Notamacropus eugenii: one gene and its partners. The protein of the gene in region 3 interacts with the protein of the main gene of each other region in a pairwise test. Links are inferred from orthologs where the notes say so. Each region holds a gene or a part of one and is shown on either strand. Other genes may lie near its edges. The genes, in order: CRKL, KPRP, TNS2 and SHFL.

What was found.
Region 1: the proteins of TNS2 (region 3) and CRKL interact in a two-hybrid assay, tested with the Homo sapiens proteins (2 studies listed by BioGRID and IntAct). The link is inferred for Notamacropus eugenii from reciprocal best matches to the Homo sapiens genes TNS2 and CRKL.
Region 2: the proteins of TNS2 (region 3) and KPRP interact in binary tests that used the Homo sapiens proteins (3 or more experiments, as listed by UniProt). The two-hybrid records come from large-scale screens. The link is inferred for Notamacropus eugenii from reciprocal best matches to the Homo sapiens genes TNS2 and KPRP.
Region 4: the proteins of TNS2 (region 3) and SHFL interact in binary tests that used the Homo sapiens proteins (3 or more experiments, as listed by UniProt). The link is inferred for Notamacropus eugenii from reciprocal best matches to the Homo sapiens genes TNS2 and SHFL.

Annotation. Positions count from the first base shown.
Region 1 is NC_092875.1:9,005,793-9,013,508, forward strand, and holds the start of CRKL (crk-like protein), read left to right. Parts: upstream 1-4,704; 5' UTR 4,705-4,725; coding exon 4,726-5,036; intron 5,037-7,716. UniProt on the Homo sapiens protein: May mediate the transduction of intracellular signals.
Region 2 is NC_092873.1:376,461,044-376,468,551, forward strand, and holds the start of KPRP (keratinocyte proline-rich protein), read left to right. Parts: upstream 1-4,489; 5' UTR 4,490-4,600; intron 4,601-4,608; exon of another isoform or gene 4,609-4,779; intron 4,780-6,557; 5' UTR 6,558-6,582; coding exon 6,583-7,508.
Region 3 is NC_092874.1:225,881,464-225,888,619, forward strand, and holds the start of TNS2 (tensin-2), read left to right. Parts: upstream 1-4,145; 5' UTR 4,146-4,232; coding exon 4,233-4,379; intron 4,380-4,518; exon of another isoform or gene 4,519-4,657; coding exon of another isoform or gene 4,658-4,726; intron 4,727-7,156. UniProt on the Homo sapiens protein: Tyrosine-protein phosphatase which regulates cell motility, proliferation and muscle-response to insulin. Phosphatase activity is mediated by binding to phosphatidylinositol-3,4,5-triphosphate (PtdIns(3,4,5)P3) via the SH2 domain.
Region 4 is NC_092875.1:80,060,796-80,067,786, reverse strand, and holds the start of SHFL (shiftless antiviral inhibitor of ribosomal frameshifting protein), read left to right. Parts: upstream 1-3,973; 5' UTR 3,974-4,158; coding exon 4,159-4,188; intron 4,189-4,552; exon of another isoform or gene 4,553-4,684; intron 4,685-4,840; coding exon 4,841-4,973; intron 4,974-5,229; coding exon 5,230-5,279; intron 5,280-5,766; coding exon 5,767-5,802; intron 5,803-5,894; coding exon 5,895-6,047; intron 6,048-6,132; coding exon 6,133-6,236; intron 6,237-6,560; coding exon 6,561-6,712; intron 6,713-6,882; coding exon 6,883-6,991.

The DNA of each region.
Region 1 (7,716 bases), on a different chromosome or scaffold from region 3:
TTAGGGATATAAAAATGAAAGATAGCAATAAAAATTTATAGTAAACAATTAGGCGCTTGTTAATTTCCTCTGAGGGCCTGCCCCTCCAGTCATCTTTTCCTTTCATAGTCCAATCTCTCTTTATCAGCTGGCACCTCCCCCACTGCCTACAAACTGCCAAAGCTCCCCCGAGCCTTGCCCTTGGCCGTGCCACCACCTCAAGCCATTGGTCTGGGCCTTCTTTCCATTTGCAGCCAAACTGCCTGAGCTGCCATAATCCTCACATCCCACTCACTTTTCCATCTGCCTTCCCACCTCACTGTCCCATTGAACCTGTTCTCTCCATGTTTACCTGTGATCTTCTAATGGTTCCAGTCATTGCTTTTCCCCCTCCTTTTCTCCTCCTCCTTGACCTCTGGATAGCTTTTTAAAAATAATTAATTTTTAGTTTTCAACATTCCCTTTTATAAGATTTTGAGTTCCAAATTTTTCTCCCTTCTTCCTCTTTCCCCCTCCCTAAGATGGCAAGCAATTTGAGATATATATATATAAATATGCATATAGATACAGGTACAATCATATTAAATATATTTCCATGTTAGTCATGTTGTAAAAGAAGAATCAGAACAAAAGGGAAAAACCAAGAGAAAGAAAAACACACACACACACACACACAAAAGAGAAAATAGGCTGCTTCCATCTGCATTCAGACTCCACAGTTCTTTCTCTGGAGGTGGACGGCATTTTCCATCATGAGTCTCTTGGAGTTATCTTAGATCATGGCATTACTGAGAAGAACTAAGTCTGTCATCATTGGCCGTCTCACTGTGTTGCTGGTACTGTGTACGGTGAGTGTTCTCTCGGTTCTGCTCATTTCACTCAGCTTCGGTTCATATAAGTTCTTCCAGGTTTTTTCTGAAATCTGCCTGCTCATTATTTCTTATGGGAAATAGTATTCCATTACATTCATACACCACAACTTGTTCGGCCGTTCCTCTACCATTGATAATTCCTGAAGGCAGCCAGCTAGCATGGCAGATGGAGGGCTAGGAAGACCTGAGTTCAAATCCTGACGCAGACACTTCCTAGCTGTGTGACTCTGGGCAAGTCACTTAACCTCTGCCTGCCTCTGTTTCCTCATCTGTAAAATGGGGGTCATAATAGCACCTACCTCCAGGAGTAGTTGTGAGGTTTGAGATACTTGTAAAATGCTTAGCACACTGCCAGACACAAAGTAGGCACTTAATACATGCTTGCTCCTTTCACCTTTCTGCCATTCAAGAAGCCTTTCCAGAATAGTTGGGCTAGTTCACTACTCCACCAACAACACACTGGGAGCCTGTTTCTTCATATCTTCTCCAGCATCTGTCATTTTAGCGTATCTGGTGGAGGTGAAATGGCTCCTCAGAGTTGTTGGCATTTGCATTTCCAGGAGAATACCACCCTTCTAGACACCCAACTTCAAAATCTCTTCACTCTCTATCTAGTCCATCACTAAACTTTGTTCCTCTACCTCTCCCCATTTCTCCTCTTACATAAACAGCAAGTCTGATACAGGCCCTCTTTACCTCTCACCTGGACTATCACCCTAGCCTTCCACTCATCCCTCTGAGTCAAGTCTCTCCCCATCCAATACATCCATTACTCCCTTGTGGAGCATAGATCAGATTATATTAGACCCCTCACTCCAAACTCTCCAGTGGCTCCCTATTACCTCCAGGATTAAATCCTTTGTTTGGCAGTTAAGGCCCTACACAACATACTCCCTAAGATCCAGCCACCCTGGCCTAGTTACTGTTTCTCAAACAGAATGCATCATCTTTATCTCCATGCCTTTGCATAGAGTATCCCTAGCCTGGAATGCTCTCCCTTCCAACTTAGGTCTCTTGGAATCCCTGCTTTCCTTTCCTCCCCCCAGGTGCTGGTACCATTCTTCTACTCTGTGTTGGCACCCCCATTAGAATGCACACTCCTTGAGGGTGGGGATTATCGATTTTCTTTGTACCCCAGAGTTCAGCACAGCACTTGGCACATGATGCGGGCACCTAATCAATGTTTGTTGATGGATTGGTTGGTTCTATAGGTATCCATGTAGCACCTTGGTGTCTGGCTTAGAGATCATCTCCTCCGAACACTGAGCCCCAGAGGAGGAGAGTGGCTTGTCCAAAAGTCATACCGGTAGTAACAAATCGACCCTCCTCCCTTTCTGTGGGTCCTACCTGAGATACCGGGGTAACCGCAGTATAAGCAGTCCAAACTGACTGGTATTGGCTTCCTTAAACCTACTGGATGGCAACATGTCTCTGTGTTAGTTATCCACCGAGGGAGCACCATACCTGAATTTCCCAGCAGGTGGAATTCTTTTGAACCATTAACCTAGTAGTCACTTCTGTGGAAAGGTCTCCCAAGAGGTTGCTATATTCCCATTAGCCACCAGAGGGCAGTGAGCGGATAAATATCTAGGCTGCCTCCTCACTGCTGGGTTTCAAGCAGTTTAAGCTGAGTCTATAAGGTTCAGAACTTAGCTAGGGGCAGAGATGGGCCTCAACGTCTCCCTTCTCATCTCTGCCTCTGCCCAGTAGCCAAATAATCTCCCCTGGGCTAATCGCCAGCTTCCAGGTCCCCTGCCGCTTGAGCCTTGGACCACAGAACATCTTGTTGATGGAAGTCTCCACATCTCAACCCAAGTCATGGGCTGCTTTATCCCCGTGAAGTGGGGCTGGCAGGAAGTGTGGCTCTCCCAGAGGATCTGGGGGAGGGAAGAAGAGGCACCAGCAATGAGTTGGAGCCAGCAGCTTACCTGCTGCCAGAGCCAGTTCCCTCACAAGGCTGGGGCCAGGGTGGGGTGGGGAATGCCAGTCAACAGAACCTGGACTTTTGATCCCCCTGAATCCCCCCCATTCCTCAGGGGAAAAAGCAGGAATTCATAAGGGAAGAGGGTAAGGCCTGGGCTGCGGTTGTACAGGTCAGTACCACATAGGGAGCTTTGGGGAAGGATGGTGGTGGTGGATGAATCTGTCCTCTAGCATTGATTGAGGGCCTATTGTGTGCCATGCTAAGTGCTGGCATATAATGTGGGTCCCTGCCCTCCAGCAGTTCAGGGTCTAATGGGGCAGACAAGGGGCAAACCACTGGGAAGGGTCAAGCTAAAGACAGCTCTGCCCAGCCTAGGGCTGGCTTCTCTTGGGGAGCATCCTTGATGATGGGGATGGGCAGCGATGCTCAAGTTGCCCGGTCTGGGGTATGCCCTGGTGGGAATGGGGGTGAGGCAGAGGCACTCAGTATAGGGGCTGGCAGGGGAGTCCTGGCTCTGGCCCTGGAAAGAGCCTGGCATCAGGAGCCTTCCCTAGGTGGTGGAGCCTCAGTTTTCTCCTCTGTAAAACGGGGACTGCCTCCCAGGTGTGGTGGGAGGCCTGGCCCCTACTAAGCGCTACCTACGCGTTCAGCCTTGGCTTTGGGGGGACCAAGGAGATAGGGGTGCGGCCCGACTTGCGCCCGGACTGGACTTCGGTGGAGCACAGTGGCCCCAAGTCTGGCGCCGGACACGGGTCCGGAGGACAGCCAAGCTCTGTTTCAGAACTCTCCCCGGCCCATTCTGGGGGGGCAGACACCCCCTAACTCAGCCAAGGGGCTGGAGCCCACTGGTCGCCCTTAGCTTTGCGGGGTGTGGCCGGAGCACGTGGGGGAGCCACAGGTGACAGGTAAGTGACAAGCGGACCCACCCGAGGTGCAGGAGCCCTTCCCGGCCTCCACACCCCGAGGGGAGCCTTTGGGACACCCAAGGTTGGGTTGCTGCTGCCCAGGGACCTCGGAGAGTCAATCTTGGTGCGGATCGTCACTAATGAATACGGCTGAGGAGAGGGCGTCTTTGGGACTGATTACAAATGTAGCTTAGGTCTGATATTGATGCGGATCGTTACTGGTATATACGGCCGCCGGGCCTGGGCGTGGGTCAGGGACCCCCCGCCCGAGGTTTGATTTGGGTGCGGATCATTACTAGTACATATGGCTGAGCTGGAAGGTAGGAGGGGCGTCGTTACGGATCACTACGGCCCAGCCGGCGGGCCGCCCCCCGCCCCTCCCCCCGCCCGGACTCCAGGCGAGATTTCCCCACCTCGGCTCGGCCTTTCGAAACCGAAGGAAGCGCCCGGCGGCCTCCGCTCGTCGCCCCGCCCCTCCCCCCTCCCCCTCCTCCCCTCCCCCTTCCCCTCCCCCTCTCCCCCTTCCGCTCCCCCCTCCCGTGCCGGGCGTGCTCCGGCGCTCACGCGGACAGGCGGGAGGGCGGCGCCGCGAATGGGCGCGAGCTCCGGGGCAGCGCGAGCGCCGATCCTCATTGGGCGCGCGCGGGCCGGGCCGGCCAACCGGCGAGGGCCCCGAGGGGCGGGGCGGGCGCCGCGCACGCGCAGAGGGCGCCCCCGAAGAGGCTGGGGAGGTGGCCGGCCGCCCGCCATTTTGTTGCTGGGGCTCTCGGGAAGCAGGGCTGCGGCGGAGCGGCGAGGCCGGCGGGCGGCGGGGCGGCGGCGGCGCGGGGCGGCGGGGCGCGGGCCCCGGCGCGCGATGGTGCGGGCGCGGCGGCGGCGGTGCCGCGGGCTCGGGGCGGGCCGGGGCCTGTGAGGGCGCGGGGCGGCGGCGGCGGCGGGCGCGGCGCGGGGAGCGGCCCTCGGCGGAGCGGCGGCGGCCCGAGCTCGCCCGCGGGCTTCCGTAGCCGGCGCGCCCCCGCCCGGGGCGGCGCGGCCCCCGGCGGCCATGGCGGCGGCGCGCTTCGACTCGGCCGACCGCTCGGCCTGGTACGTGGGCCCGGTGTCGCGGCAGGAGGCGCAGAGCCGGCTGCAGGGCCAGCGGCACGGCGTCTTCCTGGTGCGCGACTCGTCCACCTGCCCCGGGGACTACGTGCTGTCCGTGTCCGAGAACTCGCGCGTGTCCCACTACATCATCAACTCGCTGCCCAACCGGCGCTTCAAGATCGGGGACCAGGAGTTCGAGCACCTGCCGGCGCTGCTCGAGTTCTACAAGATCCACTACCTGGACACGACCACGCTGCTGGAGCCCGCGCCCAGGTGCGGGGCGGGGGGGAGGGGGAGAGAGAGAGGGAGAAAGGAGAGAAAGAGGGGGAGACCGAGAGAGAGAGAGAGGGAGAGAGAGAGGGAGAGAGAGAGGAGAGAGGGAGAGAAAGGGAGAGGAGAGAGGGGGAGAGAGAGAGAAAGGGAGAAAGGAGAGAGGGAGAGAAAGGGAGAGGAGAGAGGGGGAGAGAGAGGAGAGAGGGAGAGAAAGGGAGAAAGAGCGAGAGAGGGAGAGAGAGGAGAGAGGGAGAGAGAGAGGGAGAAAGGAGAGAAAGAGGGGGAGACCGAGAGAGAGAGAGAGGGAGAGAGAGAGGAGAGAGGGAGAGAAAGGGAGAGGAGAGAGGGGGAGAGAGAGAGAAAGGGAGAAAGGAGAGAAAGAGGGGGAGACCGAGAGAGAGAGAGAGGGAGAGAGAGAGGAGAGAGGGAGAGAAAGGGAGAGGAGAGAGGGGGAGAGAGAGAGAAAGGGAGAAAGGAGAGAGGGAGAGAAAGGGAGAAAGAGCGAGAGGGGGAGAGAGAGAGAGAGAGAGAGGAGAGAGGGAGAAAGGAGAGAGGGAGAGAAAGGGAGAGGAGAGAGGGGGAGAGAGAGGAGAGAGGGAGAGAAAGGGAGAAAGAGCGAGAGAGGGAGAGAGAGGAGAGAGGGAGAAAGGGGAGAGAGGGAGAGAGAGAGGGAGAAAGGAGAGAGGGAGAAAGGGGGAGGGAGAGAGAGAGAGAGAGAGGAGAGGGGGAGAGAGAGAGGGAGAAAGGAGAGAGGGAGAGAAAGGGAGAAAGAGCGAGAGAGGGAGAGAAAGGGAGAAAGAGCGAGAGAGGGAGAGAGAGGAGAGAGGGAGAGAAAGGGAGAAAGGGGGAGAGAAGGGGAGAGAGAGAGAGAGAGCAGAGGGGGAGAAAGGGAGAGGAAGAGAGAGAGAGAAAGGGGGAGGGAGAGAGAGAGAGGGGGAGAGAGAGGAGAGAGGGAGAGAAAGGGAGAAAGAGCGAGAGAGGGAGAGAGAGGAGAGAGGGAGAAAGGGGAGAGAGGGAGAGAGAGAGGGAGAAAGGAGAGAGGGAGAAAGGGGGAGGGAGAGAGAGAGAGAGAGAGGAGAGGGGGAGAGAGAGAGGGAGAAAGGAGAGAGGGAGAGAAAGGGAGAAAGAGCGAGAGAGGGAGAGAAAGGGAGAAAGAGCGAGAGAGGGAGAGAGAGGAGAGAGGGAGAGAAAGGGAGAAAGGGGGAGAGAAGGGGAGAGAGAGAGAGAGAGCAGAGGGGGAGAAAGGGAGAGGAAGAGAGAGAGAGAAAGGGGGAGGGAGAGAGAGAGAGGGGGAGAGAGAGGAGAGAGGGAGAGAAAGGGAGAAAGAGCGAGAGAGGGAGAGAGAGGAGAGAGGGAGAGAAAGGGAGAAAGGAGGGAGAGAGGGAGAGGAGACAGGGAGAGAGAGGAGAGAGGGAGAGAAAGGGAGAAAGGGGGAGAGAAGGGGAGAGAGAGAGAGAGCAGAGGGGGAGAAAGGGAGAGGAAGAGAGAGAGAGAAAGGGGGAGGGAGAGAGAGAGGGGGAGAGAGAGAGGAGAGAGGGAGAAAGGAAGGAGAGAGAGAGAGGGAGAGGAGAGAGGGAGAAAGGAGGGAGAGAGGGAGAGGAAGAGGGGGAGAGAGAGGAGAGAGGGAGAAAGAGGGGGAGAGAAAGAAGGGGAGAAAGGGAGAAAAGAGGGAGAGAGGAGGGAGACAGAGAAAGGGAGAGAGAGGAGAGAGAGAAAGGGGGAGAGAGGGAGAAGGAGGGGGAAAGAGAAGGGGAGAGAGAAAGAGGGAGAAAAGAGGGAGAGAGAGGAAAGAGAGGAGAGAGGGAGAGGAGAGGGAGAAAGGGAGAGAGAGAGGAGGGAGACAGAGAGAGGAGAGAGAGTCTGCGCTCTTGTAATTTTCATTTAGATCTTAAGTGAGCAGGGTCCGAAGAAAGTGCCCATTCAACCCTTGTTGGTGAGGCCAAATCCCATCATTAAATGGGGGAGGTAAAGGGCTGGCTCAGCACATACTGGAGACACTTTTGGAACCCAGGTCCCCTGACTCCCAAGCCCACAATGCCCCAGCTGGCTTCCATTCCCACACTTGGTGCCCCTGGGGTGACCTTGGGCAGCAATGGCTCTTGTGTGAGGTTTGACCCCCCCCCTCTCACAGGTGAGCAGATCCAGGCCGAGGTAGTAAGATACCCTGCCATCCTCATAGCTAAGAAATGGGGGGATTGACCCCCAAACCCTGGTCAGTTCAGGGATAGGGGCACCCACTCATGTTTCTTCTGGGCAAACAGGTGACAAAGTAGAAGCTCCTGGAGAGGGGACAGGGACAGCTTCTGCTCTGACTCTAGACCTGGTGTTCTAGACCGAGTTTGGACTAGATGAGTTCTAGTAGGAGTGTGGGAGTTCTGCTCCACTGCTGATTTTCTGAGTGACCTCCAATGATAAGTAAATCTCCTCAGGGCTCTTTCAGTCAATAAACATTTATTAACTGTCATTTTCTGTACCACATGCTACTAACCTGGAGATACAAAGAGGCAAAAGGCAGTCCTTGCCCTTGAGGAGCTCAAAATCTAATGGTGAGATGACAAGCAAAGGAGCATGGACATCATAGACAGGACGAAGAGGAATTCCGTTAGAGGCAGGCATTAGAATTGAGGGGTGGGGAAGGTTTTCTGGAGGAGGTGGGTCTTAAGCCAGGGAAGTCAGTAGT
Region 2 (7,508 bases), on a different chromosome or scaffold from region 3:
TAAATGTTCCTGTTGCCATCATTATTATTATCATTGCACAAGATCTCTGATTTGAGACTTTGAAGTCTAAGAAAACAAGTTTAATATACAGGAAACCAAGAAAACAAGAAAAGCTGTGTGGCCTGGTTTTGAATCCAGACTTTGCAGACTGTTGACACTGATGGAAAGTCAAGAGCAAAGGACATCTCAGGGAGCCAAAGTACTCAGGGGTATCATTAAGGAAGTGGGACTTGCAATGGACTGGGGCAGGTTCTAAATATAGAATACCATTTTTCTTTGTCTGTCTCTGTCTCTTTTCCCTCTCTGCCTCTGTTTTTTTCTGTTTCTATCTTTCTGGCTCTTCTCTGTTTATCTCTCTTTATTTCTCTTCTTTTTTCTCTTTTCGTTCTGCCTCTCTGTTTTTGTTTTTCACTCGCACTCTCCCCTCTCTCTCTTTGTCTCTCTCTTCCTCTGTCTCTCTCTGGTACTCTCTTTTTCTGTATAATTTTCTAGCATTCTAGCATAATTCTAGCATTCTATATTTATCTATAGATCACAACCTCTGTGTATTTTTATCTTTCTGTCTCTAGGGATCCCTATATATAGTGTTCCGTTTCTATATAATTCTACCTTCCTTTCTATTTCCTTTACTAGACATCTCTTTGTCTTTAAAACTATGTCAACAACATATTTCTCATATTGCATATCTATCATGTAAATATATATAACTTTCTTTAAAAAAATTAAAAAACCAAAAATCTATTTTTATCTCCTTCCTATCCAAACCCCATTGGGAAAAGAAAAAATAAAACAAAACCCTTATAACAAAAATGTGTAATCAAACAAAACAAATTCCCTCACTGGCCAAGTTCAAAATACATATGTCTCTTTCTGCACCGAGTACATAGAAGGTGGATAGCACACTTCCAACATCAGTCCTCTGGGATTGCTGTTGGTCATTGAACCATACACAGATTCTTCTTCATCTCCTTTTGCTTTCGATCTCTTATGTGTTTTCTATGTATTATATCATCATATATCTAAATATTTCCATCTGAGTATAGCTATTCCAGTGATTGTTTGTCATTTTGTTGGTAAGGGAATTTGTGATTTTCTTGGTATGCAAACTTTGATACAGACCAGTATTATAAATAATAGATAATATATGTATATGTATACACACATGTGTGTATGTGTGTGGGGAGGAGGTATACATTAGAAAAATCTTAGGAATTTGCCTGAGGCTCAGAGTTATGGTGACTTGCCCATGGTCAAACAGCTAGTATGTGTAAGGGACAGAATTTGAGCCCAGGTCTTTCTGTCTCCAAATATAGTATGCTATCTATCTTCCATGTTGCCTCTCTAAAATGTTTGTTGAATTGAGCGAAATTAAAGTGTATCCACTCTCTCTATAGAAAATCTCTCTCATCTCTAAATATGTCAGTCTAAACTTCTACATTTGTCTTCATGATCTCTATCTCTGTTTCTTTAGCTCCATGTTTATCTACATATACATATTCGTTATCTTTATACATCTAGCTTCGCACAGCTTTCTCTACTGAGGGTCACAAGATGTAGAACACTCATAGGAGGAAGAGATCTTAGAGATGATCCAGTTCAGAGGTGTCAAACTCACAGCCATCTTCAATGTGACCCCAAATAAATTAAAATGTAATGGGAAATGTTAAACAAAATAAACAAAATATAATACAACATAGATAATGCAAATTTTTAGTTTTCTAAGTGGGGCTTTGATCCCTTTCTATTTGAGTTCGACACCATTGATAGTCCAACCCTTTTATTTTATCAATAAATTCTGAAAGGATTCAATGATTTATCTATAGGTGCACAGGTAGGGAGTGTCAGAGCTGAGCTATTACTATTTTTATCTCTACTCAGATGTAACTTTACTCCATTTTCATCTTTCTTTCTCTACATATCTTTATGATATATTTTTGTTGTTCAGTTGTTTCAATCATGTCTGACTCTCTGTGACCCCATTTGGAGTTTTTTTTGCAAAGATACTGGAGTTGTTTTCCATTTTCTTCTCTAATATATGGTATTCTATGCATATATATGTATATATTCATACATATATACATACATACATGCACACAGATTGATGGGCAGATTGATAGACAGATGGATATAGATATATGTATACATAATGATATCAGTCAGAAAATGACACCTATTATATTTCATAGGTATATATTCATATGCATACATACATATGTATGTGAGAGACTATCATTTAAGAAGAACTAGACCTTAGTTAAAGATCACAAAACAATGGATTTAAAAGAATTATTTAGTTTCCAACCCCCTTAGAATAAAGAAAGTCCTTGGAGAAAGGTCTGGAGCCTGCATAAAAAGAATGTAGCATACCAAGCATTCCAAAGAGAAAAAGAAAGTCATTTTTCTCCTTATTTTGAAAATGTTTCACCTTAATCTCAACTCTTTAAGCCCCTCATTTCCAGTTTCTATGATCTCATGTTAGAGAAAGAAGAATCCTCTGTTTCAAGGTTTGGGATTGGTTTCAGAAAATTCAGGACTATTTTCCTATGAATATCAATGAAATGGTGTTAGAGATGCTTCTCCCATTGTTCCTCTGAAGGTAACTTCTGCCTCTTCCATCCCTTCCCCCTTCTTTTTTCCCTACTGAAGTTCCAATAACCAGAAATGTTCCTTAGTCCCTGGACTTCGTCTACTCCTGTATTCCATCACCTTATTCTCCAAGGACTCAGCACCTAGAATGAAACCCATATTTTCTCCCTAGTCATTGAAATTTAATGATTCTCATTGTGATGGGACAGTGTAGTCCTAGAAGTAGCTTCTCATATCTTTTTCCTTTACACCCCATCGGATGCACCACACGTGATACTGGACATCATAACATGGTAGACAGCTACAGTACCTCACCTCTAACCTCAGGTATTAGGGGGATGTAAACAGCTGACCTTGGGTCTGAGTAGGCAAGCTAATTATAATAAATAGCTAAAATTTGTATAACACTTTAAGGTTTGAAAAGCACTGTACAAATGTTATTGCATTTGATCCTTATAACAACCCCGTGAGGTAGGAGTTATTATTATTCTCATTTTACAGACAAACTAACAGGATAAGAAAAATGAAATGGTTTGCCTAGGATCATACAGCTACTAAATTGTCTAAGGTAGGATTCAAACTCAAGTCTTTTCCAAGTCCAGCCCTTTGTTCACCACAGTTTACTCAGCTTACAAACACAGGATCAGAAAACTTGTTGGTACTTATAGCTCTGGTTCTGGTTCATCTGAGCACTAAGACAGTCTTTTTAAAAATGGTGTTTGTTTTTCTTGCATGTAAAGACAATTCTTAGTATTCATCTAAAAATAATTGAGTTCTGAATTTTCTCCCTCCTTCCTTCACTCTCCTCTCCCTACAAGCATAAGCAATTTGATATAGGTTATATATGTGCAATCATGTAAAACATATTTCCATATTAATCATGTTGTGAAAGAAGAAACAGGCCAAAAGGAAAAAAACCAAGAAAACAACAAAGTAAATATAGTATCCTTTGATCTGCATTCAGACTCTATCAGTTCTTTCACTGTATATGAATGGCATTTCTCATCATGAATCCTATGGAATTGTTAGTCTTTTATCTCCTTTTTCTTCCCTCCCCAGAGATGACACACAGATAATAGTGAATGTAGTCCCCATGGAGTGGAATATTTGCTAAGTCTGAAAAAGTGCTGGACTTTCTCCATGAGTACTTTTTATATGCTAATGTAAATATGAAGGATTATGTCACTGGTTCAAAGCCTAAGGACTTCTCCTTGGACATTCTATCTGCCACACATGGCCCACTCAAACCAAAGTAATATGCACAGACCTGGATGTGGCCTACTGCTCATGTCTAAGCAAGCATCAAGTGTGTCGGCCAACTAACATTCATTAGGCACCTACTATGGGCCAGGCACTATGCTAAGCCCTAAGGATACAAAGAAAGCCAATAAAATACATAAAATACTATAAATATAGTAAATAAAAATAAATACATAGATAAAATAAAATAAGATAAAAAGTTTCCAAGGAGATCACGCTCAAGTGGAATCATCGATCAAATTTGGAATAATTTAGGGAATTCATTCTAGAATAAGCAATCAATTACAGAACTGGAGTTGAAGGGCTTAGACACAACATCTAGCACACTAGCCTTGCACATAGTAGGCACTCAGCCATCTGTTAAATCCCATAGGAGAGAGAATGTGACTTCTGGAATTATATGTGTTTGTGTGTGGGGAGTGGAAGAACATGGAGAATGGGAGAACTTTGTAATCCCCAACCAGTTTGTAACCTCCTAGGACTTCTAGGAATGGAGGAAACTCATGTACGATTAAGAAGGATAGTGTCTTCCTATTCCAGAAGTCTCAGCACTGAGCTCAGACACACCCATGTACACACAGGGAGGGAACCAGGCAATGGAATGTCGGTCCTTGTCACCAGGACTTCAGTTGCCGCCTTGTGAGAGCAGATGCCAATAAATTGTCTCATAGTTCAAGTCAGAGGCTGCAACTCTATAAATCAGCTCCCAGGCCCAGGCTCCTCAGCCAGTGTGATCACAATAGCATCAAGGAAGGTAAGTCTCTGAGACTGGACAAGGGTTGGGGGGGCCAGAGAGGTAGATATAGGTGACAAGGAGTCAGAGCAGAGAAACTGTTGGGAGCCATGAGGATGGAAAAAGAAAGGAAGAGGACCAAGAAGAGTATCTGTTGGGGCTTGGGGAGAAGAGGACAGTGCAGAGGAGCATGATGGAAGGTGTGCATATGTGTGGAAGCATCTCTGCTCTGTGTGAAAAATCAAGGTGGTCTTTGGCAAAGCAGTGATGGATTGATTGATTTGATTTATATTGGGAGTGCTATCAAATTGGGACAGCTGTAAGCAAACTGCCTTGTGACAGACTGTCTCTTGTTTGAAAGTGGGTGTATTAAGTTTGGAGAGACTCATCACTAGACTGGACCATGGGACAATAGTTATTGACCACAATGGCTACTAGAAAATCTCTACCTAGTGGTAGAGGGGTTGCTCTCTGCCTGGGTGGAGGATACATCTGTACTCATGAAAAAGGTCCTCCTTGGAGCATTGAGGTAAATTGACCAGAGTGCCATCATTCTCTGGGAGAATGCCATTTTTTTCAGGAAGGACTTGGGCCCCTTGGCAAAAGAGTTTCAGAAATTAGGGGAAAGATGGGAGAATTTGGCAGATTGTTAAGTAGAAGAGGTTTTCCCAGAGTCTCTAAAATAGATGATTGCCTTTTCTGCCTTTGCATTTGTTTTTGTGAGATGTTTTGAAGTAGGGTAGGTTAGAGTAGGCTGGGGTGGGGTCTACATGGACTTAGATCTGGAATGCTTGCTTGTGTAGAAGTATATCCATCATATTTATAAGGCCAAGGAGAAACCTAATAATGGATATATGTCTGGCTTACATATCAGGGCCCCAAGCTTCCAGTCCTTGCTTGTTTTTAATGTTTTCAGCTTCATCCCATGAGTGGTCCAAGGCAAAAAACAAAACAAACAAACAGTTCTAAGGTCAGCCAACCTTTCCTTCTATCCTGGTGCAAACTAGGATTTCTTGCGAGCAGGAGGCAGGGAAAGGGTTATTGGCAAAGTTGGTGTATGGGGAGGATTATTCAGCTTGAGCTAGAAGGGACCTTAGAGATCGTCTCAACCCTTCCCATTTTATAGACGTTGAAGCCAAGACCTAGAGGTGAACTGACTTGCCCAAGGTCCACATCTACTAAATGGAAGATTCAGAATTTGAACTCAGCTGCTCTGACTCCAAAGCAATTCCCTTTTGCACATCTGAATTAAATGAAAATTTTCTCTGACAAATAAAAAGATTTGTTTAAAAACAAATCCTCCACAATACAAATGTTTTGCTTGGGTGGTAACTCACTATTGTGTGTATGGTGCCAAATAACTCTGACTATATTCTCCACTTTTCATCTGGTAGTTTTGGCGGCATGTCAACATAGTTTGTACGTGTCTGCATACCTCTGTGTGTGACTTCATCTCTTCATTATTCACTTTCATGGAGGCGAATCATTCCACAGACAATTTAAATTCCAAAGTGCTCCAGATTGGGACAGCCCAAAGTGTTGTGTACAATGGCCAATAGTTAAAAAAATAATTTTAAACTGACTTCTGAAAACATGTTCATGGTGTAAGAGGCATATATGCTGCCCAGTGAATGACATTTGGCTTTGGGTCTTTCTAGGAGCAGTTGTGGGAGAGGGTAAGCGTCTATGTGGATTTATGTATGTTCCTGCCTCCAACCATCCCCCAGGAGCTATAATATGGTGACAAGGGCACTGGATTTGGATCCAGGAAACTGATGTTCAAATTCCCCCCTGCTCTTTGGTAGCCCAATGATCTATACAAGCCATGGCTTAACCTCCCTGGTCCTTAGTTTCATCATTAGTAAGATCCAAGGTTTGAAACCTCAAGTCCCTTCCTGCTCTGAATTTTATCTCTGACTCTGGGATTCTTTTTCCTCCCCCAACCTCCCAGACTAACCTCTACTCTCTCTGCCCACAGAACCCTATCATCTGCAGTCAGAATCATGTGTGACCAGCAGCAGAAGCAGCCCTGCCTACCACCTCCAGAGTGCTGCGTTAAAGGATCTTCTTTTACTCCTTCTCCATCCTTTGTCCCCATAAAAGGCCAGGTCTCAGGTGAAGTACGAACTTTTCAAACTTGCTCTGCAAAGGGTCAAGTTGTAAGCCAATCTCAAACTTCATCTACAAAAGGCCAGGTCCTAGGCCAGTCTAATGTATGTGCAGGGAATGGTCAAGCCCCAAGTCAGTCCCAGATATGCTATGTGCAGTGCCAGGCCCCATGCCAGGCCCAGGAAACCTATGTAGAATGCCAAGTTGCATATCCTGTTCAGACCTCCTATGTGCAATGCTCTCCAGTTTGTTGTACTGAAACTTACTATGTGCAATGCCCTCTTGAGACCTATGTGCCAGTGGCAGCCTCGCAGCCAGTTCAGTCTTATGTAGAATACTACCCTCAATGTCAGACTCAGGGATATTATAGCAGCAGTGCCCCTCACTGCCAGTCTCAGGGGTATCATACCAGCTATACCTCTCAACGTCAGTCTCAGTGTTATGGCGGTGGTGCACTTCAGAGCCAATACCAAGGATCTTACAATGGCTGTTCCTCTCAAAATCAATATCAGGGATCCTATGGTAGATGTGTACCTGCCCGCACCTCTCAGCCTTCTTATCATAGCTGTTCTCCTTCACGTGGACCTCTGCCTTCCTATGTCAGCTGCAACCCTCCTAGCACTTCTCGGCCGGCCTATCGGAGCTGCTCCACTCCATGTCTCCTTCCACCTACGTCTCGGCCCGCCTATCAGAGTTGCTCCCCTCCACGCAGATCTCAGCCTACTTATACTTACTGTACTCCTCCACGCGTATCTCGGCCTACCTATAGGAGCTGCTCCCCTCCCCGCAGATCTCAGCCTACTTATACTTACTGTACTCC
Region 3 (7,156 bases):
CACTCCCCACACTCCAGTTTTTGCTGTTCTCCACAAAAAACCCAACTCATCTTCCCCTCTCTCTCCACCCAGGCCTAGCATGCTCTCTTGATCCCTTCCACCTCCACTTACGTGAGGATCCAGCCACATTGGCCTTGCTTGCACACAACCCTGTGCCTTTGGGTTGTCTGCCTAAAATGGCTCCCCTCTCCCCATGCCCCACCCCACTCTCCCACTCCCTCACCTCCTGGCTTCCCTGGTGTCCTGCAATATTCAATTCAAATCCCATCTTCTGCAGGAAACCTTCCTGGGTCCCCACCCGCAGTTACTGAAGCCTTCCTTTCCTCTGAGATTATCTTTCAGTTTTACACTGTATATGATTTATGTGTACCTAATTACTTGTTTTTGTTTGTTTTTTTGGAGGCAATCAGATTAAGTGACTTGACCAAGGTCATACACCTAGTAAGTGTCTGAGGTCAGATTTGAATTCAGGTCCTCCTGACTCCAGGGTGGGTGCTCTAGCCACTGTACCACCCAACTGGCCTTGTACCTGGTTAGTTACATATTGTCTCCCATTAGCTCCTGGAGGACTGGGACTGTTTTTGTCTTTCTTTGTATCCCAAGTGCAGCACAGTCTGGTATATATAGTAAGTGCTTAATAATTGTTTGTTGACTATCATTAGCAAACAGTTTAAACTTAAGTAAGAGGGATTATTAAGTTAGTCATGAAGAAGTTCTTGAATGTGAGAGATTTGAGTCTCTTTTTGGAATGGGGGAAGGAAAGGGCAAAGGTTAGGAAGGAGTCTTTAAAAATAGGATTCTCCAGTGATTGGGATGGGGTAGGATATGGTCCTGTTCAGAGACAGTTAGATGAAATGACCTCTCTGGGTTCTCTTCCTTAGCATGTCCCTTCCCTGGGCCCTTTTAATAAATTCTCCCTAATGAGAGGAGAAACTAAGGGAAGAGTGGGAACATCCTGGCCAAGGAGAGGAAAAGATGGATCTCTTCCTGGTTCCTCATCTCAGTTGCAACAACTCAATTCATTTCAGCAACAAGATTTGACTTGACTTAAAAGCAGTGGTATGCTGGTAAATGTTTAACTTGGGGATGGGGGGAATACATCAGACATACTATTAAGTTTAATCTGCCTTAAAATTTTCTCAGTTTCTTAAATCTAGACAGCCAACAAAATAATAAATCGATGAAACAAGTCCCGGTTTATAGCATTTGCTGATTTCTGAGGTATAAATGTTCACACTGAATACTGAGAAAAATCGAGGGCCAGTTAAAGCTGGTACAAGCTCACGTCAACCTTAAAGACACTTCAGTGCCTGGCATTCGAGGCTCTCCACCATCTAGCACCACCTTCCCACCTTCTCTCATGTACTCTCCTCAACTGAACTGAACCATTCCCTAGGCTAGGTGCTTTCTCCTTCTTCTGTCTCTAACCTAGTTTATCCTCTTGTTGAATTCCTACCCATCCTGTATTTGAATATGTATATATGCAAATAGGAATATACGTGCAAATATGTGTATGTGTGTGTGTATATACATATATGTATATGTATAAATTATTAATGCTTTTTGCCCTGCCTTTACCACCAATCTTTTCCCAACCACTAGATACATATCAAGCTCTCCCTTATGACTAAAGTAAATAAGGGAAAAGGTCTGATACAGAGACTGACAACTTATAGAATATTCTGTTCTAAAAGCCCCCCTTATTCTCCTTCATTAGTTTTTGCATTACTCCAAGTTCAATTTCATTTTAAAATTAATTTTTTACAATCAGCAAAAATCCACCTTTTCTCCCTCCCAACCCAATACTTCCCCCTACCCTGCTTAATGAAAAAAAACCAAAACTCTTGTTACCAGTGTGTATAGTCAAGCAAATCAGATTTCTTTTCCTTATCCTGAAAATATATGTATCTCGTCTTGCACTCTGAATCCTTCACCTTTCTATCAGGAAGTGGTTAAATGTTTCATCATTAATCCTCTAGAATAACGATTGGTCATGAAAGTGATCAGAGTTCCTAACCTAAATCTTCCAGAGTTTGGCTTTGCTGGATTGTTTTCATTGTATAAAATCTCCTGCTTCTCTGCATCTGTTCATACAAGTCTTCCCAAGTTTCTCTGAAACTATTCCCTTCATCATTTCTTCTAGCACAATAATATCCTATTATATTTATATACCATCACTTGTTCTTCCATTCCCCAATTTAGGGGACCCCTTTGGATTCCCATTCTTTGCCACTGCAAAAAGAACCATAGTTTTTTGATGCATCCTTAGAGTTTGTTTTGCTTAGGACTAATCCGTCCCTTAATGTACCCTCCCTATAATTCCTCCCTTTCCCTTCTCTTTCCTTCCTTTATCTATTGGGTGAAATGTATTTCTGTACTCAACTGTGTGTGTGTGTGTGTGTGTGTGTGTGTGTGTGTGTGTGTGTGTGTGTGTGTGCGTGCGCGCGCGCGCGCTTCTCACCTTTGACCAGTGCAGATGACTGTAAGGTTCAAGTGTCAGTCACTTCCTCCACTCCTTCCTTCTTGTTTGGATAGGTGCCTATTTGCACAATCTGATTATGTTAATTTTCCCTAACCTTCCTTTCCCTTCCCCATCATCTCCTCCCAATCTCATTTCTTTCCATTCTTCTCTTTAAGAACCACTCTCAGGCCTTGTTTAATGATACTCCCTCAATGGTCCCCTGATGATAATAGGGTTATGAGGAAACACATAGTGGCATCTTCCTATATTAGAATGTAAGTAGTTCAGCTCTGGTTAGCACTTTATGCTTATTCCTTAATGTAGAATCAAGGGTAAGAAAACTGGAAAGGTCAGATAGGACCAAGTTGTGATAAAGTTCAAATGGCAAACTCAGGGTCTGTCATCTGGAAGTAATAATTGAAGCCACTGAAGTCAGTGTCAATTTAGGACCTACATTTTATTTGTCATTTCTTACAGCATAATATGATTCCATTACATTCATATAATTTTTTTAAAAATCTTTTATTTAATCTGTCCATCCCAGAAAAAAAAAAATCAAGTCCCTCATACTTAGATGCCTAATCCAGCGAAACAAATGTTCCCATTGAATGGTCATGTCCAGAACTATATTTTTCTTTGAGTTCATCACCTCTCTCTCAGGAGATGCCGTGTTTCCTCTTCACTTGTTTGGATTTATGGTCCATCACTGCATTGATTAGATTGCTAAAGCCTTTCAGAGTTTTCCTTTTTTCTGTGTCGCTGTTCTTGTACAAATTTCTCTGGTTTTGCTCACTTGACTGCATGGGTTCATACAAGTCTCTCCAATTTCCTCTGAAGCTGCCCTTTTGGTCATTTCTTATGGCGCAGTAATGTTCCATTACATTCATATGTCACAATTTGTCTAGCCAAGCCCCGGACAGGATGACATCCTCTTAATGTCCACTTTGGGTCTCGCACACAAAAGAGCAGCTGTCGATATTTTTGAATGTATAGGTCCTCATCTCTCTTTGGGAATCATAGACCTAGTATTAGTACCACTGTGAGATATGGGGTATATTTATGATGTAGTAACTTGGGGACATAGTTCCATACTGCTTTCCAGAATAGCTGTGCCAGTCCATATTCCTAGCGTCTCTGCTGTCCCAGGGCCCTCCACATTTGTAATTTCCCTCTCCTGTCATCTTTGTCCATCCATCTTTTTACCAGTCATTCCTCAGTCTGTGGGACCCTATATGTTTCCAGTTATTTGCTCCTCCAAGCAGTACTGCTGTGAATATTTTGGTATATTCTGTCTTTTGACTCCCTTGCAGGGATATGTTTATTGGCACCTACCCATTCTTTAAGGGCCAACTCAAATGTAGACCTCTCCATAAAGTCAAGATACTTTGCCCACCTCTTAGGCACAAGCTCCCTGTGGGCAGGGAGCAGGTATTTTAAAATGTCGAATCTCCCCTAGGGCCTAGCACAGTTTTCAGCACAGACTGGGCACTGACGCTAAGTGCCCAGGGTATGTTAAGCTGGAGGGGTCACAGCCCCAGGCCGGACGTCACTAACTAGGACAGGAGGGCTGCTGATCCGTCCTGTTTATCGGCTCTGGGTGTGTGCCAGCCCCGGCTGGGAAAGAGGGAGGAGAAGTGTGTGTCCCACTGCTGGGAAACAGGAAGCCAGAGGCCGTCCAGGCCTGACCCCAGGCCCAAGAGCACCGACGGGGCCTGGGAGCGTCCTCGGGTGGGCCGGGGGAAGGGGGTGACCAGAGGGACCCCCGGATCCGATGGCCGTGGTCCCCCACGCCCCCGCCCTTGGCGCCAGCCCAGGGAGCCCCCACTCTCCTGCTCCCCAGAGGGGCCCCGGCAGGGTCTCGGGGCTCTCCCCGTCCCTCTCCTCTCCTGCCTGGGTCTCGCTCAGTCTTCGGGAGAAGGTGGGGAGAAGAGAGGACTAGGGGGCGGGGAGCGGGGCGAGAAGTGGGATTGGAGCCGGAGCGAGGGAAGGAGGGAGCAAGGGAGGGAAGGAGGGAGGGAGGGAAGAGGGAGCGAAGGAGGGCAGCCCAGCCCAGCCCAGCCGGGCCGGGCATCGCAGCGAGCGGGGACCGGGCAGCCGGGGGGCCAGCGGAGCTGCACTGGAGGCGCCCGGCCGGGGGGGTGCTGCGGTGGCGGGCCCCTCCTCCCTCCGCCCCCCGCTCTCCGCCCCGCCGGCGGCATGGGCTGGGCTGGGGGCTCCCCCTGCTGCTGCCCCCCGCGCTCCCGCCCCGCAGGACGGCCCCCCAAGGTGAGTGGGCGGTGGCTGCGTCACGGCCGGCCGCGGGCCGAGCCGGAGGAGGGGAGGGGAGGAGGGCGGTGCCCTGGGCGAGCCCCTCGGAGGGGGCTGGGGGGAGGGGGACCCCGCTTTGGAGCCCGGCCGGGGGGGCAGCCCCCATCCGCCCCCACCTATAGCAGCCCACAGCTCGGAAAGTTGGTGCCACCTCCGGCCTTAGGAGGCAGGGCTTGCGGGCCCTCGGACTCACGTACGCACCACTGGCACACGCACACACCCCCTCCGGGCACAGGTACGCCCACCCACCAGCGCACCTTCGCGCTGCCAAGCCGCACCCTTCAGTGCACTGAGGTAGCGGCCCTCCCCAGACTGGCAGCCCCTAAGTGCTACCTGGAGGCAAGTATGCCCCGCGGACACACCCGGCGGCACCGGCAGTCCGGCGGGAGGAAAGTTACCCTGGGCCCGAGACGTAGACACGTCCTGGAGGGTGGGTAGGGCTTCCTTCCCCCTCCCCTTCGTGTTTGTGGAAACTGAGGCAGGACTGAAATTACACATCCCCAGCCTTCTTCTGGCACAGCTCCCCAAACCCCGCCAGTTCCCCCAGTCCCCTCATTTATTCCCCATCCCCGGTTATCTGGTTTCTCTTCTGCTCCCACTCAAGATCCCCCCCCATCCTAATTAAGACCTGATTCCTTCCCTCTTTCCTTGGACCTTTCACCCTTTCCCCCTCCCCTCTAGCCAGGCCTGGGCTTCCAGCCTCTGTATCCAACCACAGCTATTTCCAGGAGGGGGGAGTAAGGGGTGGAGGGGGCTTCTCCAAACAAACCAAAGACTTCCTGGCCCAGCATATGAGGGGGCCAAGGCAGGGGAGGGAGGAGGCAGGCAGACACTGGAATGTGGCCAGCAAGGATGGTTGGGGGGGGGGGGGAGCAGTGGGAGAGCAGAAGTCCAGCTGAGAACTGAGCTGCATACCGGCTGGGGGGCTAATATTCCAACTTCTTCCTACCTTAACCCTTAGGTGCCCACACCATACAATATGGCAGGGAAATGAGATTTCTCTCCTTCCTGCCCCACTCGTCTTTTCCTCTGCAGATGCTAATCAGGGTACCTTGATGATCTCCAATCACTTCTATAATGTAGGGCCTCTCTTTTCACGCCCCTACCAGCCCAGAAAACAAGGAGGAAACTGAGGCCTGACCCAGAAGAATTTTCTCCCTCCATTTCTAACCGTCAGCATAGATGGTTAAGGTAGAAGAAGAGTTAGTGTTGCCAGACCTACAGAGATTCAAGGGGAGGGATATTGGAAGGTTTTAGCTACAGGCTGCCATGAGCCAGTGCCAGGGAGGTGAAAGTAAGACCCCTTAACAGGAGGATGGCATTCCAGAAGGGAAGTTAAAGACAAACAGGGGAGGGCCCCACAGGTACAGTCCAAGGTTTTAGGGGCTGACCAAGGGAAAAGGAGAGATTCAACTAAGGGAAGAGGAGAGGAGCTAGAAAGAAAAAAAATCACCTGCCACTCAGGCTTCTTGGTGCCAGTCTCTCCCTAGGATACAATATCATGCCAGGGTCCTACTTCCCACATTGATACAATGTCTGGAATGTCCTGAAACCTGGCCAGACTTAGTGGTGGAGGTGGGGGGAGGGGGGGGCCAAAATCCAGCGCCTGCCCTTTCAAATTTCAGGGCTGAGAAACTAGCCTCCTTGGATGTTCAGTCCTTAGTCTAAATTCCCTGTTTCTGCCCGACATCCTGTCTGGAAGGGCCATCGGTAGCTGAGCAGATGCTCCCTGAAGTAAGAGGCGTTAGGGCACTGATTCGATTTAGCAGCAGCACTCAACCCCCTCTCTCAATTCAGTTAGGAAGTAAATATGAAGGAGCGCAATTTTTTGTAGAGGTTCCCTAACCCCCTGAGGTTAATATCCTAGTGGTCTACTCAGGAACAGAGGGGGAGAGCTAGTCAGGAGTGGCATGGGTAAGAAAGAAATAGAGCTCAGGACCAGGATCCTGAAGGACGGGCCAGTCCAACGGGGAAACAAGGGGTTCACATGGGGCAAGCAAACCCTTTCCCCCTTTCTAGACTTTCCTCATCTGTAAAACGAGGGAGTTAGAATAGAATAGATACTTCGATAATTCAGTTTAATTCAGCAAAGATTTACTAAGCGTCTACTGAGACAAGAACACTGTTAACTGCTGGAGGAGACAGTTTAGATAAGTCAAGGTATCGGCCTCCTTGGTGTTTACAGTTTAGTAAACTAAACAGACCCTAAGGTCTTTTCCAGTCTATAGCATTCTGTACACAAATTCAATACCTCGCCCACATAAAGTTTGGGGACAGCTATGGTGGAAGGGATGGGGTGAGGAATTTCAAGGGAAAGGGGGCAGGGACTGGGAGAATCTGAGGTAGGACGGAGGCAGTCAAGGAGGACTTGGGCAGATGCTGACCTAC
Region 4 (6,991 bases), on a different chromosome or scaffold from region 3:
GAGGAGTAACATGACAGCAATGTGGAGGAAAAGAGATGACATTGAGAGATTTTGTGGAGGTGGATTGGACAAGACTTAGCCATTGACTGGATATGGGGTATGACGGAAAGGGAAGAGTCAAGGATGTTATAAACCAGAATGATGGGGAGGATAATGGGGCTCTCAACAGAAAAGAAAGAGTTTGGAGTAAGAAGTTTAGAGATAAAGGGGCTAGATGAATCCATTTTGGACAAATTGAATTGGAGATACCTATGGGATATCCAGGAGGAGCTATGCAACTGGCAGCTGATGATATATGACTGAAGCTCTGGAGCAAGACAAGGGTTATATATGTAGATGTAAGTCATCTGCATAAATAGAACACTTGATTTCAATGGGAAATGATGAGATTTCCAAGAGAAAGAGTGTATGCTCAGAAGAGAAGAGCGTTTGCTACAGAGCCTGGGGAATACCCTTGGGTAGGGGGAAGAACATATATGATAATCCAGCAAAGAAGTCTGAAGAAGAATAGTCAAACATAGAAGGGGAACCAAGAGAGAGTAGTGTCTCAACATCCCAGAGGATAGTGTCAGATGCTTCCGGGAGATCAAGGAGAATGAGGACAGAGAAAAGGCCATTGGACTTGGCAAATGATCCAAGAGGCAAGCCCTAAAGGAGTCAGGAGAAGACGAGATGGAGAGCATAGGTAGAGGGTTTGGCCTTGGCAAGGGGAAGGACCACTTTGTACTCAGAGATGGAAGCACAGATGGGCAAAATAAAGAAGAAAAGTAACCTTGTAACAAATGGCCTCTATTTTCAACATAAAGTAGTAGACAAGGACATCTGTTGAGAAAGAATGAGATAGCAATGGAGGGACTTTTCTGAAATGAAAATTTATTGTTACGTATTTTAAATCCTCTCATGTTTTACTAGGCACAAGACATGCTTTTTTTGCTCTTTGTATTTAAGTTCCAATATTTGAGTTTATGATATGTTTTTGTTTCTTTTCTCGATTCTGTATTTGTGTTCTGGCATTTGAGTCCAAAATTAAAAAAAAAAATAGAGTAAGTAAAGGTCCATAAAGCACATTTGTCTGCCCAAGGGAATAATCAGTACTTTCTGTACCTTCTAGGGGGCATAACCAGAATAGCTACTTGGAGTCCAGTGTCTATGTAGGTGACCAGATGGCATTCCAAGCTTGAATGATTCCATTTCACTCCCATCACACAGGTGGAGAAACTCCTAGATTCTAATCTTCAGTCATTTGCTCACTACCAAACTCTTAGTCCACACATACCTCATCCCCACTCCTAGCTTATCTTTCCAAAGCTTTCTATACTGGGATATAAATAATTAGAAGAATTCAGAAATTGCTCAAATGACTAGCCCCCATTCTCACTAGATTTCAGTCAGTTTACCAGTGTGACCTGTAAAAATGAGTCACTCACATAGAGATTAAAAAATATTTCCTGAATTAAAGTAAAAATGAAAGATCCAGTATTCAAACCCCATCATTCTTGAGTAAATCACAACCTCTTGGTAAGCCCTTAAGTCATTAAAAGTGACAGATGGGAGAATAGCTAAGCAAATTGTATATATGAATACAATGGAATATTATTAGTATGTCATAAAAAGTGAAAAAAAGTCAGAGAAGTATGAGAAAGACATAATAACTGATGCAGAGTGAAGTAAGCAAACCAGGAAAACTGCCACATTAGAAATAAAAGGAATTTTTTAAAAATATTATGTAAAGCAGTGCTGAGACACTGTCTCTTCCTCACTTTTTTGCAGAGGCAGAGGTCTATGGATGTCAAATTTTTCCATAGATTGATGTGTAGATAAGTTTTGCTGAACTGTGTTTTTTTCTTTTTTATTCTTTGTTAAAAGAAATAACTGACTACATAGAGGAGGAAAGGATAAATTCAGAAATAAAGGTGATATAAAAACAAATGATACTGTGTGAGGAATTTTTCTGGTAGACTTAGCCCTTCACAGCAATGCAAGGACCTAAAAAGTTCCCAATGGACCCTTGAGGCAAAATGCCTTCCATATACAAAGAAAGAACTATGGAATTGGATCTCAGAATGAAGTAAACTATTTTCTCTTGTGTTCTGTTTTGGTCTGGTTTGGTTTTTCTCATGGTTTCTCCCATTCATTTTAATTCTTCCATGAATCATGACCAAAGTGAAAATGTATTTAGTAAGAATGTATGTGTAGAACCCGTATAAGATTGCACTCAGTCTCAGGGGGGGAGGGAGAGGAAGAAAATCTAAGACTTATGGAAGTGACTGTAGAAAACTGAAAGCAAATAAATTAATTTTAAAAATTAAATAAAACAAATTATATAAAAATTGAAAATAAGAAGAAAAATTGCTGTGAGTACTGAGGCAGAACTGACCTGGCTAAGGATTTGATGGTGAATACCTCAATCATACTTTTTCTCTCTATAACTATCCATGACCCAGGTATCTTCTGACCCCTGCATTAATCATCATGTAAGATAAGGAACTAGTTATAGGCCTGGCTACTGTGGACTCTCTCCTCCCCTTTTTACTTCTTGCTTGGGGTTGTAATCAAGTCAACATTAACTTTGGACTTTGAAGGGCATAATAATCTACTGCCCTATTAATCAACTCAGAATCCTTGTGATTCTAAGTGACAGGCAGCCTAGGTAGAAGTTTCCTTCCAGGACCACCACTCTCTAATCTCTCACAGCTATTCATGTCAGCTCTATGCCTTCCATGTCTCTACCCCCACATTACCCATCCTAACCTCTGCAATCCCTCCAGTAAAGAAAGAGCTACATCTATGAAGGGCTTCATGAGCATTCAGCAAAGGGACAAAACGACGCCCACTGACCAGGAGCTGCTTACTCCTTTGCCATGTGTGTTCTCTGTTTCCTTCCCTTAATATTTTGAGTTTGAGCACACACACTTTGTGCCACCAAGGCGAGAATGTGCTCCTACTTTAGATAATTGTTGTTTTTTTCCTTAACTATCCTAGCTATACCTGCACAGTAAATGAATGCCCTTTCTAAAAGCCAATTAAGTAGGACTGATAATCAGGGGAAATATGCTGGTGGGGGTAATAGAAAAACCTAGACTTTTACCCCTAGAGTCCTAAGAAAAGTAGCTGTCAACTATCCTCTGGGGATCAGCCAATTCAAGTGGGAACTGGGAAAGTAAGTAAGGAGGGAGTGCTATACATATATTTTATATTTCATTTTCTCTGCACATGTCATTGTGTCTGAAAAAACTATAACCTCCTTAAAGACAGGGTCTGTTTTCTTGTCGTTGTATCTCCAACCCTCAGCACAGTGCCTGGTATATAGCAGATAAGAAAATGCTTGTGCTGGCAAATTGAATGCTTTTTAGAGAGGCAATTGATAAACTGAAGAAGAAGATGATCAAAGTTGGGGAGAGGGGGGAAGGAGGCAATCATGGTAATTAGAGCAGAAAGTGACCTTGGAGAGAAAAGTCTAGAGTCCATGTTATATGAGGATTGGTCAATGGAACTGGAGATGTTTAGTCTGAAGAGGACAAGATTTAAGGATGGTACATGTAGATAGCTTTCTTCAAATATCCCAAAGGATCATACATATGGAAAATGTTCTGTTTTGTCCCAAGAAACAGAACTCAGAGCACTCAGGGTGAAAGTTACTGAGAAGCAACTTGGGGAAAAAACTTCTTAGTAATTGAGGCCATCTAGGGTCGATGACCTTTCCAAAGAGGAGTCTTGTAGTCAGATACAGGTTGGACTAGAAGATCCAGGGAGTCCTTCCAGTTTAAGGCTTCGGACCTTTTTGGCCAGGGGCTTTTCCTCTGGCTTGGGATAAGATTCAGGATATTCAGTTCACGGTCAGTTTCCCAGTCCCACACCCCGCCCTCAATTCAGGGACCCCCATCTGTCCCACTGAGGTTTAATCCCCCTCAAATTTGGGGGCTGAGCAGGTCTAGAAAGACTCTAAACCTAGCCTCAGGCTCTGACAATCCTCACCCCTCTGAGGCCCCGCCCTTTTCTGAGAAACTGAAAGTGGGAGGAAAAGCGGGGCGGGGGTGTGGGTGCTGTTTGTTCTGGGCAGACAAAAGCAGTGGAAAGGGCTGAGAAACCCCAGTTCCCCGTTTACTGGAGCTCCATAAGGTGAGACCCTCGGGAGCTGCCGGAGCCGCGGGATCAAGGATGGCGGGAGCCGGGTCCTCCGGCGTGAAGGTGAGAGGACAGGGGCCAGGAGCCAGGATGCGCTGCGCGGGGAGCCCAACCCTGTCTCCCCTAACTCTAGGCTTGGCCTGACGGGGAGCAGAAACCAATGGAGACCAAGTCTGCCTGGGACCGGGACCGGGACCGGGACCGGGAGGGGACCCCATCCCACCCCCCGACTCCTCCCTGATCCCGTTCCTGGAGTCGGGGAGGTAGGGATCGGGCAGGTACAGGCTGGAGAGCCAGTCCTGCTGCCTCAGGGCTTCTCACCTGCCTTGCACTTTGGGCCCTCTGGCACAGGCACCTTGGCCTTTTCCAAGAAACGCTGTCCGGTCAAGGGCCAAGGGCCTGACCCACAGATTTCCCTACCTCTGCAGGCTTTTTTCCTCCCCCAACCAACAACAATGGAAGGGAGAGGGGATGAAAGGAAGGAAATTGGGCCCAAGATGCATGCGACCTCTCCCCCTCAGACCCTGACAAAGACCTGGCCTGTGTGCCCATTTCGTAGGTTAGTCAATTGATACCCAGAAGGAATGGAATTTACTGTCTTAGCAGTACTACTGTCCAATACTGTCTAATGCAAGCCTTCAGGTTTCTCAAGGGTTTCAGCAATGGTACCGATGATTTTCCTGTGTCTCCCTCCCCTATCTCAACCTCTTAACAGCTGGAGAAGAGTGTCCGTCGCCTTAGGGAGAAGTTTCATGGCCATGTGCCCGTAAAGAAGGCAAATGTTCTAATGGAGAGATACAGCCACAACCATGAGCTGGTCTCTTCCTGGCTAGTTAAACACATAACAGGTCAGCAGGAAACGCTGGGGGGAGGGGGAGGCAGAGAATATAGAGGAAGCCCTGGAGGGCTTATTGAGGGGCCTGTTGGGTACTAGGGGCCCCTACAGGTACTGGGAGGGGATCATGGAAGGGGTGTCCCAAGGAGTTCATGTCCAGAATGTTCAGTGGAACCAGAAACCACTGGGGGATAGGTGACTGTTTAAAGGTCCTTGGTCCTAGTATATCCTGTGACAGCCCCTATGCTCTCCAAACTTGTTCTCTGAAGAGTTCAGATCAGAAAATGAAGATGTACACCAAGCAGATCCAACTGTCCAGGTAATTTCCTTCCCCTACATTCCCCATAGCTGTAAAGAGATCCAACAGTCCCCAACTCTAATGAGCAAATCCAGGAAGAGATAGAGGGCACATGACCCAGGTTCCTGGGCTCAGGATTACAGGAAGAGACAACTCTGGGAGACTCTTTTCCAGTTCCTCATCTTCTCCTCTCCCCAAGACACCCACAATCTCTTTTGCCCAGTCCTAGATACACTTTTCTCTTTTCCAAACCCCCCCTCCATGTAGGATCCAGGCTGACCCAGGAGATAATAACACTGGAGGGATTAGAGGGGGTGGATCTTGAGGAGGGGTCTGAGCTGTGAGCTGAGGCCTTCTCCCTGGCCAGTCCTTAGTCCTTGCTTCAAAGTTTACTTCTTTGCCAAGTGACGAGCTCCAGGAGTAAGGGTACAGGGGCACCTGGACACCTGACAGATCAATGCAGACCCCAGCTCAGACTCCTGTCTCTATCTCCCCACTCTCTGCCCAGGATCGACAAAATGACTTGAAGGACAGAGACATTGAGGTGAGAGGGGAGCAGGGGTGAGAATGAGAACATCCATTGGATCCATGTTGGAGGCTGAGGTGCCCTGATCCTATCCCCAACTTCCCACTCAGGAGGTGGCTACCACCATGAGCTTACCCCTGACAGAGAAAAATCTGCGAATGTTGAATGATGCCCAGAAGGGCCATATCCCTAAGGAAGACTGCCAGTTTGCCTGCGGTTCCTGTGATCACATGTGGTGGCGCCGGGTGCCTGAGCGCAAAAAGGTGAAGGGGTCAGGACCAGGACTGAGGCTGGGCCCCATGGAGTCCCTGGTAACAGACCTCACCCTCCTCACACTGAGCTTTTCAGGTGTCCCGGTGCCGGAAGTGCAGGGTGAAATATGATCCGGTGCCCAAAGACAAGATGTGGGGTAAAGCTGAGTTCCACTGTTTACAGTGTGGCCATACCTTCACGTGAGTTCTCAGATCCCTGTCCCCTGACCCTTGTTTCCGGTTCTCATAAAGGTCAGTGCCACAGAAAGGTCAGAGTTCGAGAATCAGGGTTAGTATCCTAGCTTCTAGCTTGGACAAGGCATTTTCCCCACTTTGGGCCCCAATTCCCCTATTTGTAAAAAGAGAAGTCTAGCTGCAGATGATCTCCAAGGGTTCTTTAAATCTCCCATCCTAATCCCCTGTTTCTCTTTCATTCTTACTTTCTCAGTCCCCAACCCTTGATCTCTGACTCACACTTCCTCTTTGGCCTACTACCTGCCCCAACCATTTTTGCTTTCTCCTCAGGGGTTTTGCCCAGATGGGAACTCCATCTGCATGCTACCACTGCGGCAACCTTGTCCTACCAAATCAAATTCTCCCTCCACGCCGATCCCAGAGTGAGACACCCAGAAAACACAAACATTCCTGCTCTGCTGAGGACTGCGTTAACCGACAAGGTTAAACCCCAGGTCCTTCTATCCCTTTGTTCCCCTTGTCCCACTTCTCCCTGACCCCAGTAGAGCTGACACCTACCCCCCTTTAGCCTGCTCCCCTGGGGCCAGTCTCTGACTGAACACAGAAATGTCTCAGGACAGAGAAGGCTCAGATCCTATATCTGCCCCTCCAGGATCCTCCATACCAGGGACCACCTGTGTGCACCCCAAGAGTCGTAGACAGAAAAATATGCCTATTGTCTTGTGGCCAAGTGCTGTCCATGAAAGCACTGGCTCCACTGT